Linked DNA regions of Macaca mulatta. The protein of the gene in region 2 interacts with the protein of the main gene of each other region in a pairwise test. Links are inferred from orthologs where the notes say so. Each region holds a gene or a part of one and is shown on either strand. Other genes may lie near its edges.

What was found.
Region 1: the proteins of AKT1 (region 2) and TCL1A interact in binary tests that used the Homo sapiens proteins (3 or more experiments, as listed by UniProt). The link is inferred for Macaca mulatta from reciprocal best matches to the Homo sapiens genes AKT1 and TCL1A.

What each region holds. Positions count from the first base shown.
Region 1 is NC_133412.1:169,015,148-169,019,162, forward strand, and holds the start of TCL1A (T-cell leukemia/lymphoma protein 1A), read right to left. Parts: upstream 2,801-4,015; 5' UTR 2,702-2,800; coding exon 2,582-2,701; intron 1,014-2,581; coding exon 843-1,013; intron 431-842; coding exon 383-430; 3' UTR 373-382; intron 1-372. UniProt on the Homo sapiens protein: Enhances the phosphorylation and activation of AKT1, AKT2 and AKT3. Promotes nuclear translocation of AKT1. Enhances cell proliferation, stabilizes mitochondrial membrane potential and promotes cell survival.
Region 2 is NC_133412.1:178,232,774-178,236,955, forward strand, and holds the start of AKT1 (RAC-alpha serine/threonine-protein kinase), read right to left. Parts: upstream 2,801-4,182; 5' UTR 2,787-2,800; intron 2,580-2,786; exon of another isoform or gene 2,101-2,579; intron 1,648-2,100; exon of another isoform or gene 1,000-1,647; intron 623-999; exon of another isoform or gene 443-622; intron 41-442; 5' UTR 1-40. UniProt on the Homo sapiens protein: AKT1 is one of 3 closely related serine/threonine-protein kinases (AKT1, AKT2 and AKT3) called the AKT kinase, and which regulate many processes including metabolism, proliferation, cell survival, growth and angiogenesis.

The sequences.
Region 1 (4,015 bases), about 9.2 Mb from region 2:
GAGGCGGGAGAATGGTATGAACCCAGGAGGCAGAGCTTACAGTGAGCTGAGATTGCACCTCTGTACTCTAGCCTGGGCGACAGAGCGAGACTCAAAACAAAAAAAAACAAAAGGCAATGGGAACTGAAGTACTCGCTGAAACGTGAAGTTGTGAAGTACTGTGTAGATATGAGCAGCTGCGATAAAGGGGGCTCCCAAAGTGGTAAGGGAGAGACATGGGTGCCTCCAGGAAGACTCTCCCATCCCTGGGAGGCCTGAGATGGCAGCAGTCGGGGAGGGGTTAGCACTGCCTTCATGGAGAACGGGTGGTCTTTCCTTCTGGTACAGCCACTGTGGACTAAGAGGGGTCAAGCCCTGGTCAGTGGAGCTCACCGTGCCACACTCAGTCATCTGGCAGCAGCTCGAGAAGCATGTCCTCCACGCCGTCAATCTGAGAGGCAGACAGAGAAGGCATTGATCGGCCAGAGCCCTCCACTCCCTCCATTCCTCACTCCTGCGCCTTCCCCTAGCTGGAAACAGCAGGTAGGAACCCAAGTGTGAATTTCAGGGGCTCTCGGAGACTGCTCCTCCTCCCACCAGCCTTCAGCCTGTGGCTGCCCACGGGAGATGTCTTCCTGCGGCCAGCTGGGGGGCTGGGAGGAAGGGGAGGTAGGGTTCTGTTAGATACCTCAGAGGATCTATCTTCTCTCTGGGAAAGTCCTTTAGAAATCCTCAGTTGTCCATTCCCCCCAATTTTTGATGCTTTTGGGACTGGGATGGAGGGAAGATAAACCACTAAGGCCAGACACGGAGGAGGGGAAACCCAAGATCACCCGATGGATCCCTGGGAGAAGCACACTCGCCTTGATGTGGTACACTAAGCGCCAGAAACTGGAGTCTGAGGATCGGTATCGTCCATCAGGGTAGAGCTGCCACAAGATAGGCAGCAAGCTTGGGCCTATCTGGGTGGGGGTCATAGGATTCCCCAGGATGATGTCTTCCTGACGAAAGAGCACCCGTAACCTATCCTCTATCTGAGGAGAAGAAGAGCACAGGGCATACTTTCAGGTTCCGCTTGCCAGGGCTCCTCCAGGCACAGAAAACCAGAGTCCTTCCTGCCAGCCACCCACCCATTTGGGCAGGGGTCCGAGTATGAAATGACGGTCATCACTGTTCCCTGAAGCTCACTTCCTTAGGCCATGCATGCTCCTCTCAGGGACTCTGGCTGGGCCAGGATCACCAGCACGCACATGTGTCTAGCCACCCAGACAGGGCCATGAAAGGCACACTTTTTTTCTGGCGGGTTGCAGTGGCTCACACTTGTAATTCCTGTGCTTCGGAAGGCCGAGGCAGGAGGATCGCTTGAGGCCAGGAGTTTAATCAGCCTGAATGACGGAGCGAGACCCTGTCTCTACGGAAAAAAAAAAAAAAAAAAAAAAAAAAAGACAAAGAAAGAAGAAAGGAAAAGAATACTGGCCTTTTCAATGATGTGAGGCAAAATCTGTCCCACAGTTTGCTAGTGGGTTTTTGTGTGGCATTTATCATGATTATATGAAAAACTGTCTGGTTTATGATTCTGGTGTCACGTTGAAGAGATTTCTCAACCAGAGATTTAAAAAAAGAAATTCACCGAATATTCAGATTATTTCTTCAAATTTTGATTTTAAAAAAGTAAATGTTTAACTTGATTATTAAAGTAAAAACATATTTAAAAAATTGAAGTGCCAATAAAAATGCAAATTTTGGTGGTGGTTAACAGCCTAGAATTCCAACCCCATTACCTACTAGCAGCCCTACCTTGGACAAATGTACATTTTTGTGCCTCAGTTTCTCATCTGTAGAGACACAGTTAACACTCAATAATTTTTGATTGTTTGCTACTGGACATACATGTTCTAATTTGTTTTAATTTTTTATGCTTTCTTCAGTCTATGTTTGGAAAGAGTTTGAACATTTTTTGACTCTTTTTCATCGAGTAAATCCAAATACTTGTAAAAGAGTTATATATTTGTTTAACAAAAACTTAACATGGACTAAGGACCCATCTTAAGGCATCACACATAAAACAAAGTCAATATTGATTCAATACCGGCGCTTATACTACGACATCACTTGTTAAATTTGTTTTCTAAATAAAGCACAGAGGTCATGGAAAATACTTCACACTCTAGGGCAGTGGTTGCTATGCCTGGTTGACGTGTTCTTTTGAGCTGTTGAGGGTTCTTTTTAAAATACAGATTTCTGGGACCCACCTAAGATGATTCCGATAATCGGCCGTATGGATGAGTCACTTAGAGATACCCATTTTTAAGGATTAGGACCCCGAAGCCCAGAAAAGCCCTACTGTAGTCAACATATAGTCACACTCCACAGGCACTGGGTCCCCTCCTTTGGCCGACATTTCTTTGCGGTTTTCCCACCCTTTTTCCCTGCCTGGAGAACTCCTATTCATCCTCCAGAGCCCGGCTCAAAGTGGCTTCATCTGTGGGGATCCTCCCTGCCCCACAGTGGGTGCTTCTCAAGGCCTCACCCTTCCTAGGGCATCTCAAACTCCCGGGGGCTGCCCCTGCTGCCTCGCCATCCGCTCCAGAGCTGGCTGTACCTCAATGGTTAAGGGCAGCCAGGCGCGCTGCTTCTCGTCCAAATATACGAACTTGTCCCAGGCCCACAGGCGGTCCGGGTGGTCGGTGACTTCCTCCCCACGTAACGGGCACTCGGCCATGGCACCCTCGGGCCGCCTAAGAAGCAAGAGCCAGAGCCTCTCCAGGCTGCTCGCTGGTCCCTGGGATGTGGGGCCGACGCTTTATATCCGGGCAGCATGCGGCCGCCACCAAGCGGCGGGGCGGGAGGACGGCCTTGGGGCGGGACCCTGGGTCGGGAGGACGACCTGGGGGCGGGGCGTAAGGCAGGATGGGGCGGGGTTTGTGGGGGTCCCGGTGGCAAGCGAGGGTCCCACGCAGGCGCTACGTCCCGGCCTGACTGGCTCCCTGGAACGGTGGCAGCGCCTGGGAACGGAGACCCAGCCCTGGCTGACCCGCGGCTTCCTCGAGGCCCCGGCCAGCAGCGACCCCGACCGCCGCCCTCCGCTGCTGCTGGAGAGTCACCCGGGGTGACCTTGGCCCTTTCTTCTTCTGGGAGACCCCGCCGCTTCCCTCGGCTGCCGGACCGGGACTATGGGCCTCTGCTGGGAACTCACAGTCGACGCTAGGATGCCCAGAGCCGGGACCCAGTCCTCATCTTCTGGGATCAGAAGAGACCCACGCGGGCCTGAGTTAGGCCTGGGCTTTCCCGGGTTCCCTGGATCTCCTCCAGCTTGTGCCTTTGAGTGTCAGGGTCCATTTCTTGGCAAAGAACAACTCCTGACGCTCCGTCTTCCATACACAAAGCATGCGTTTTCCGCAGGTCTGATGATGCTGTGGACATCTAATAGCTATTACAAAACGGAGAAACATGGGTTTTTCCCCTTGGGCTTTGAATTTACTAGTGAAAGCATAGTTCAAAATGAATACTTAAAAAGAAACCCCTCCTTCCACCCTAAGATCAATGGATTTGAAAAGTCCTTGGTTTATATTATCAAAACCATCCCTCTGTAAATTACAAGCAATAAGGAAAACAATTTCACTTTATTTTGCAGTAACACATTCCCACTAAGGCAATTAAGAAAGTCATGCACAATGAAAAACATGTGAAACCAGCTCCAACCTGGTTCAAACATCACCATGGAACGGAGTTTGGTGTCTCACCTTCTAGCTCTTTCCTGGTTCTCTGACCAGGCACTAAGAAAATAATTTGTGATCCTTTGAAATATCACAAAAGTGGAAATTAAGAGATCTGATGAGGACATCTGATTCACTTGACAGCTGGATATCTGCCTCTTTGCCTATCCAGACAGCCTAATTCCCAAGAAGGAGCTGAGGTGGCCTAAGGTAGTCGAGATATAACGGGATTTACCAGGAATACAACATAGAAGAGAAAAGTCAAGGGCAGTTGGGGGTGGAGCGAGAGCCCTTAAGCTCAGCAAACCTCTTTTCCACTG
Region 2 (4,182 bases):
GGCTGGCGCTCCCCAAGCCCAGCTGGCCTGGCCACAGCCTCTGGGAGAAGCAAAGGAAGCTGAGTGTGAGGCCATGCCAGGCTAAGGGAAGCTCCTCGCCCAGGGTGAGTCGGAGACCCACTGCACGTGCCTGGGGGCTCCACCTGCACCTGCCTTCCCAGGTGGGCTGCCATCCCTCTAGGCTCTCTGACCCCCAACTGCCGGCCTGCCTTACCTCCCCCCAAAACACTCATAGCTGCCAAGTGTAAAATCCACGTAATTGAACACAGTTCCCTGGACCTGGGCCTCTCCTCATTCTAGGCTGAGTCCCCAGCCCCTGCCACCACTCCCCTCAACAACCTGGCCCTGAGAGCTGCTGCCTTGCTCACCTCCCCATTCCCACCTCCCTGAGCCTTTGGACAAATCATCCCCATCCCCAAAAGGCCTTCCCAGCCTGCCTAACCTGATGCACCAGCTGACAGGCTGCCTCCTCCAGGCAGTCCCTTTGAGACTTATTTGACCTAGGCTGGCTCTGCCTTCCCTAAGCCCCTGGTGACAGATGGCCCCGTTTGCTCTCCCTGTCCATGGTGTTCCTACCCATGGATCCTGGGACAGGGAACAGGGCTCCTCCCTGCTCCCCAGACTAGGAAAGCAAAGAAATTCAAACATGAAGAAGACTGGACCAGGATACAGGCCACTGGCGCAAACGGCAGCCCAGAGCCCTCCAGGGCGAGCCCAAAAACCTCCTGGGAGAAACCCCAGGCCCCTCCTAAACCACAGCGCCCCTGCCGGTCTGAATCTGGTTCATTCATTTGGCCAACGTGTACCAGGCGTCTCTGGCTTTGCCAGGCCCAGTGCTGGGCGCTGGAGACAAAGAGAGGTTCAGACAAGTCGGTCAGTGAGGAGCACCCAGTCCAGGGTGGTTACAGACCCATAATTACAGCAGTCGGGAGGCAGCAAGTAAGTGGGGGAGCACTGGACAGGCCCCTACCCTGCAGTGGCCCACCAGCCAGCCCTCACCTGAGCACACTTTATCCATTGATCCTGCATGGCTTCCTCATTTCCCCTCTGATAGATGAACTCCTAGGCATCCCTCAAAACCCAGTTCCCACATCACCAACTCCTGGCATCCCGAGAAAGAGCACTTGGCATGCTCTTCCTGTGAGCAGTCCTCTGCTACCCTTCCAGACGGGCCTTCCTGAGGGGAGGAGGGTCCTCTCTGGGACCTCCAGGCCAGGCAGAGATACCTGACGACCTCTGTGGAATGGACCCCAACATGGGTCTTTCCACAGTCAGCCAAGATGCTCTCCCGCCAGGCAACCTTTCTGGCCTCCTGAGGCCTGGGCTGGACACCCACAGAGGGGTGCTTTGCACTGACTGTCTTAAGCTACATTTAGAATGGCAGGAAGGCCCACTGCCTCGTGTCTAATGCCAGGACAGGGAAGACTACACCTTGCTCAAAGAGGGAAATGCCCCAAGTACTCAGCAGGATGGAAAGCAGGCCAGACCTGAGGAGGGCAGGGCTCCCAGCCGCGCACGCCTCAGGCACAGGGGGCTCTGACGACAGAGTGGGCGTGGCCTGGAGGCAGAGGGCTGGACTCAAAGACCTCTGGATGTCCCCCCACCCCCCACCAGGGCCTGCGTCCCTCCAAGGCCTGCTGCTGACAGAGTCAGACAGCTGTCCAGAGCCATGTGTAAAAATACATCTGTGCACACACAGGGTGGTGTACGTCTGCACAGAAACATATACACCAGGCCAGTACAGGGCTGCCTGTGGAGGCGGAGGGACCCCAACTTCCCACAGCCTCCGTACCTGCCACCTGCCTTTACCATAAGCACATATTCTTGCTGCTGTTATTATTTAAGTCACAACTTAAAAAAAAAAAATACTCTGTGTTTCGAAAGGGTTCCTCCATCTGCCTCCAGAACCCTGGTGTATGAGAAGTCTATACAGCTCCGGGGAGAGGGAACCGGGCCTCCACCAATGCACTCCGCCCTTTGCTTGGATGAGGGACTCAAAGCAGTCAAGAAGTGGCCACCTGGAGCAAGGCCAAGAGACCCAGGAGTGAATGTGGGGCGGCCTCTGGCTACAGAGCAGGGGCCCAAGCCAACCCCGCTTACCACAGCAGCACTCAGGGGCCGTCCCGACAGGACCAAGGCTCGCTAGCGCCCCAGGATACTCAATCTAAGGGGCAAGCCCCAGCTGCCCTCTAAGCCTCGGCCTCTGGGACGAGCAGGCAGGACCTCCAGGGCCCACCCAAGACAGGAAGCAGTTCCGGGGCCCAGGAGGGTCAGTCCTTTGTGGCTAGCCTGGGTACCCCGCCACCACGTACAACTTTTTGTCCGTGGGAAATGAAGTCTCCTTCCGGGGCCCTCCCACAAACTTGAAGGCCGGCCGCGGCGAGCCTTTCTCCTAACCCCGGGGCACCTCCGCCGGCTGTCTCGCTGGCCCAACGCCCGGGGAGCCCCACGGCCCGCAGGGGCACCCCAAGCCCCAGCCCCAGGCCCGGCAGCGCCCCTTCTCCCGGGCCCCGGCCTCGCCGGGTGGAGCGGCCTCCCCAAGGTCATGAGGGAGGCTGGGGCCGGCAGCCTGCACCCCTGGCGCCCGGCGTGGGGCCGCCCTCCCTTGGCCGGGCCCGCGCGCCCCGCGCCCTCCCCGCCCAGGCCCGCTCGGCCACTTCCTGCTCCCGCTCCTCCATTCTGGCGGCGCCGCGGCTCGCGCCCCGGCCCGACCGGCCGGGAACAAAGCGGCCCGGCCCGCGGGGAGGAAATCCGGGCCCGGGCGGCCGCGGCGGGCGGGGACTCACCGGGCCGCCGCGTCCGAGCGCGAGCGCGGGCCTAGCCGGGCCGCGGCCTCCGGCGCCCGCCGCTCCGCATCCCCGCGGGCCGGCGCTGGGCGGGGCCGGGCTGGAGGCCGCGGCGGGCAGGGGCGCTGCTCGGGGCCGGGCCTCGCGTGCTGCTGCCGCTCGGTGCCCGGTGCCCGGCGCTCGGTGCTTGGCCGCCTGCTCCCGTCCTTCGGGCCGCGCTGGCTGCGCTGGGCCGGCCGCCTGCCGCGCTCGGTCCTGCCGCCGCCGCCGGCCCGCCCTCTCCCCGCCCCGCGCCCGCCCCGCGCCCGGAGCCGCCCGCCCACATCCGCCTCCGCCGCCCGGGGCGTCCCCACCGCGCGGCCGCCCGGGCCCGCGGCGAGGGCGGAGCGCGCCCGGGAAGCGCGCGGCTGGGCTGAGGGGCGGCCCCCGGCGGCCTAGGGCCTGGGCTGGGCCGCTAACGGAGCCCGGCCACCAGCCAGCCCGTCCCGGGGCCACGCCTTCTCTGGCCTCAGTTTCCCCATCTGTAAAGTGACCCGGCGCTTCTGGACTCGCTCTGCCCTGACCCTACTAGACCAGGCCCGAGACCGGTCAGGGACGAATCCCGGACTTCTGCCTCCACTGCGCGGGGCGGGGGTGGGTTAGGTTGACTTTCAGGCCGTGCCCCACCTATGCACTGCCCCACTCTGGGGGGCGTGGAGGGGACGGCCAAGAGTGTCCTAAAAGGCCCAATCCCAGGACCTTGTGCCTCTGGGGGAAGTGCGGAGGTCAGTTGGAGGTGTGCCTCCAAGGAGCGGGAAGGCTCCGAGGGGACTCAACCATTCACCTAGGTACTGGCAGCTACACTCACAAAAGGGAGACTTTGCTGGGGAGTGGGAGAAGAGGGGCACACCTTGCCTGGGTCCCACCTTGAGCTGGGAGCAGACACCAGACAGAGGAGGAGCGGTGTCTAGGGTGGGCTGTGACAGCTGAGAGCCCAGGACCCTCCCTGCTGGGTGGACTTGGTCAGCCCCGACACCCAGTCCGAAGTCCACTGGGAGGCAGATGGCCCCAGTATGGAGTGAGTGAATGGGACATAGACCCCCTTCTCCTGCACACTCACAGGACGATGCAGGTGACTGCCACCCCGACCCCTTCCCAGCCAGAAGTTCCTCCAACAACTGCCCCTCCCCCATTCCAGAGGCCCACAGTTGATAATAACCCTTTTGTGAAAGAGGGACTCTTGTGAGTTAACCTTCCTGAGGCTAAGTATTGGGGTGGGGGGAGCATTTTTATTTTCAGCCTGAGTGACTTCAGCTGGCAGCAGGGGAGGGGGTGGGAGGAGATGTAGACAGAGGCAGCAGGTTCGGCCCAGTGCTCAGGACAGAGTCTGCAGCCAAAACTGGGGCTTCATCCCTGC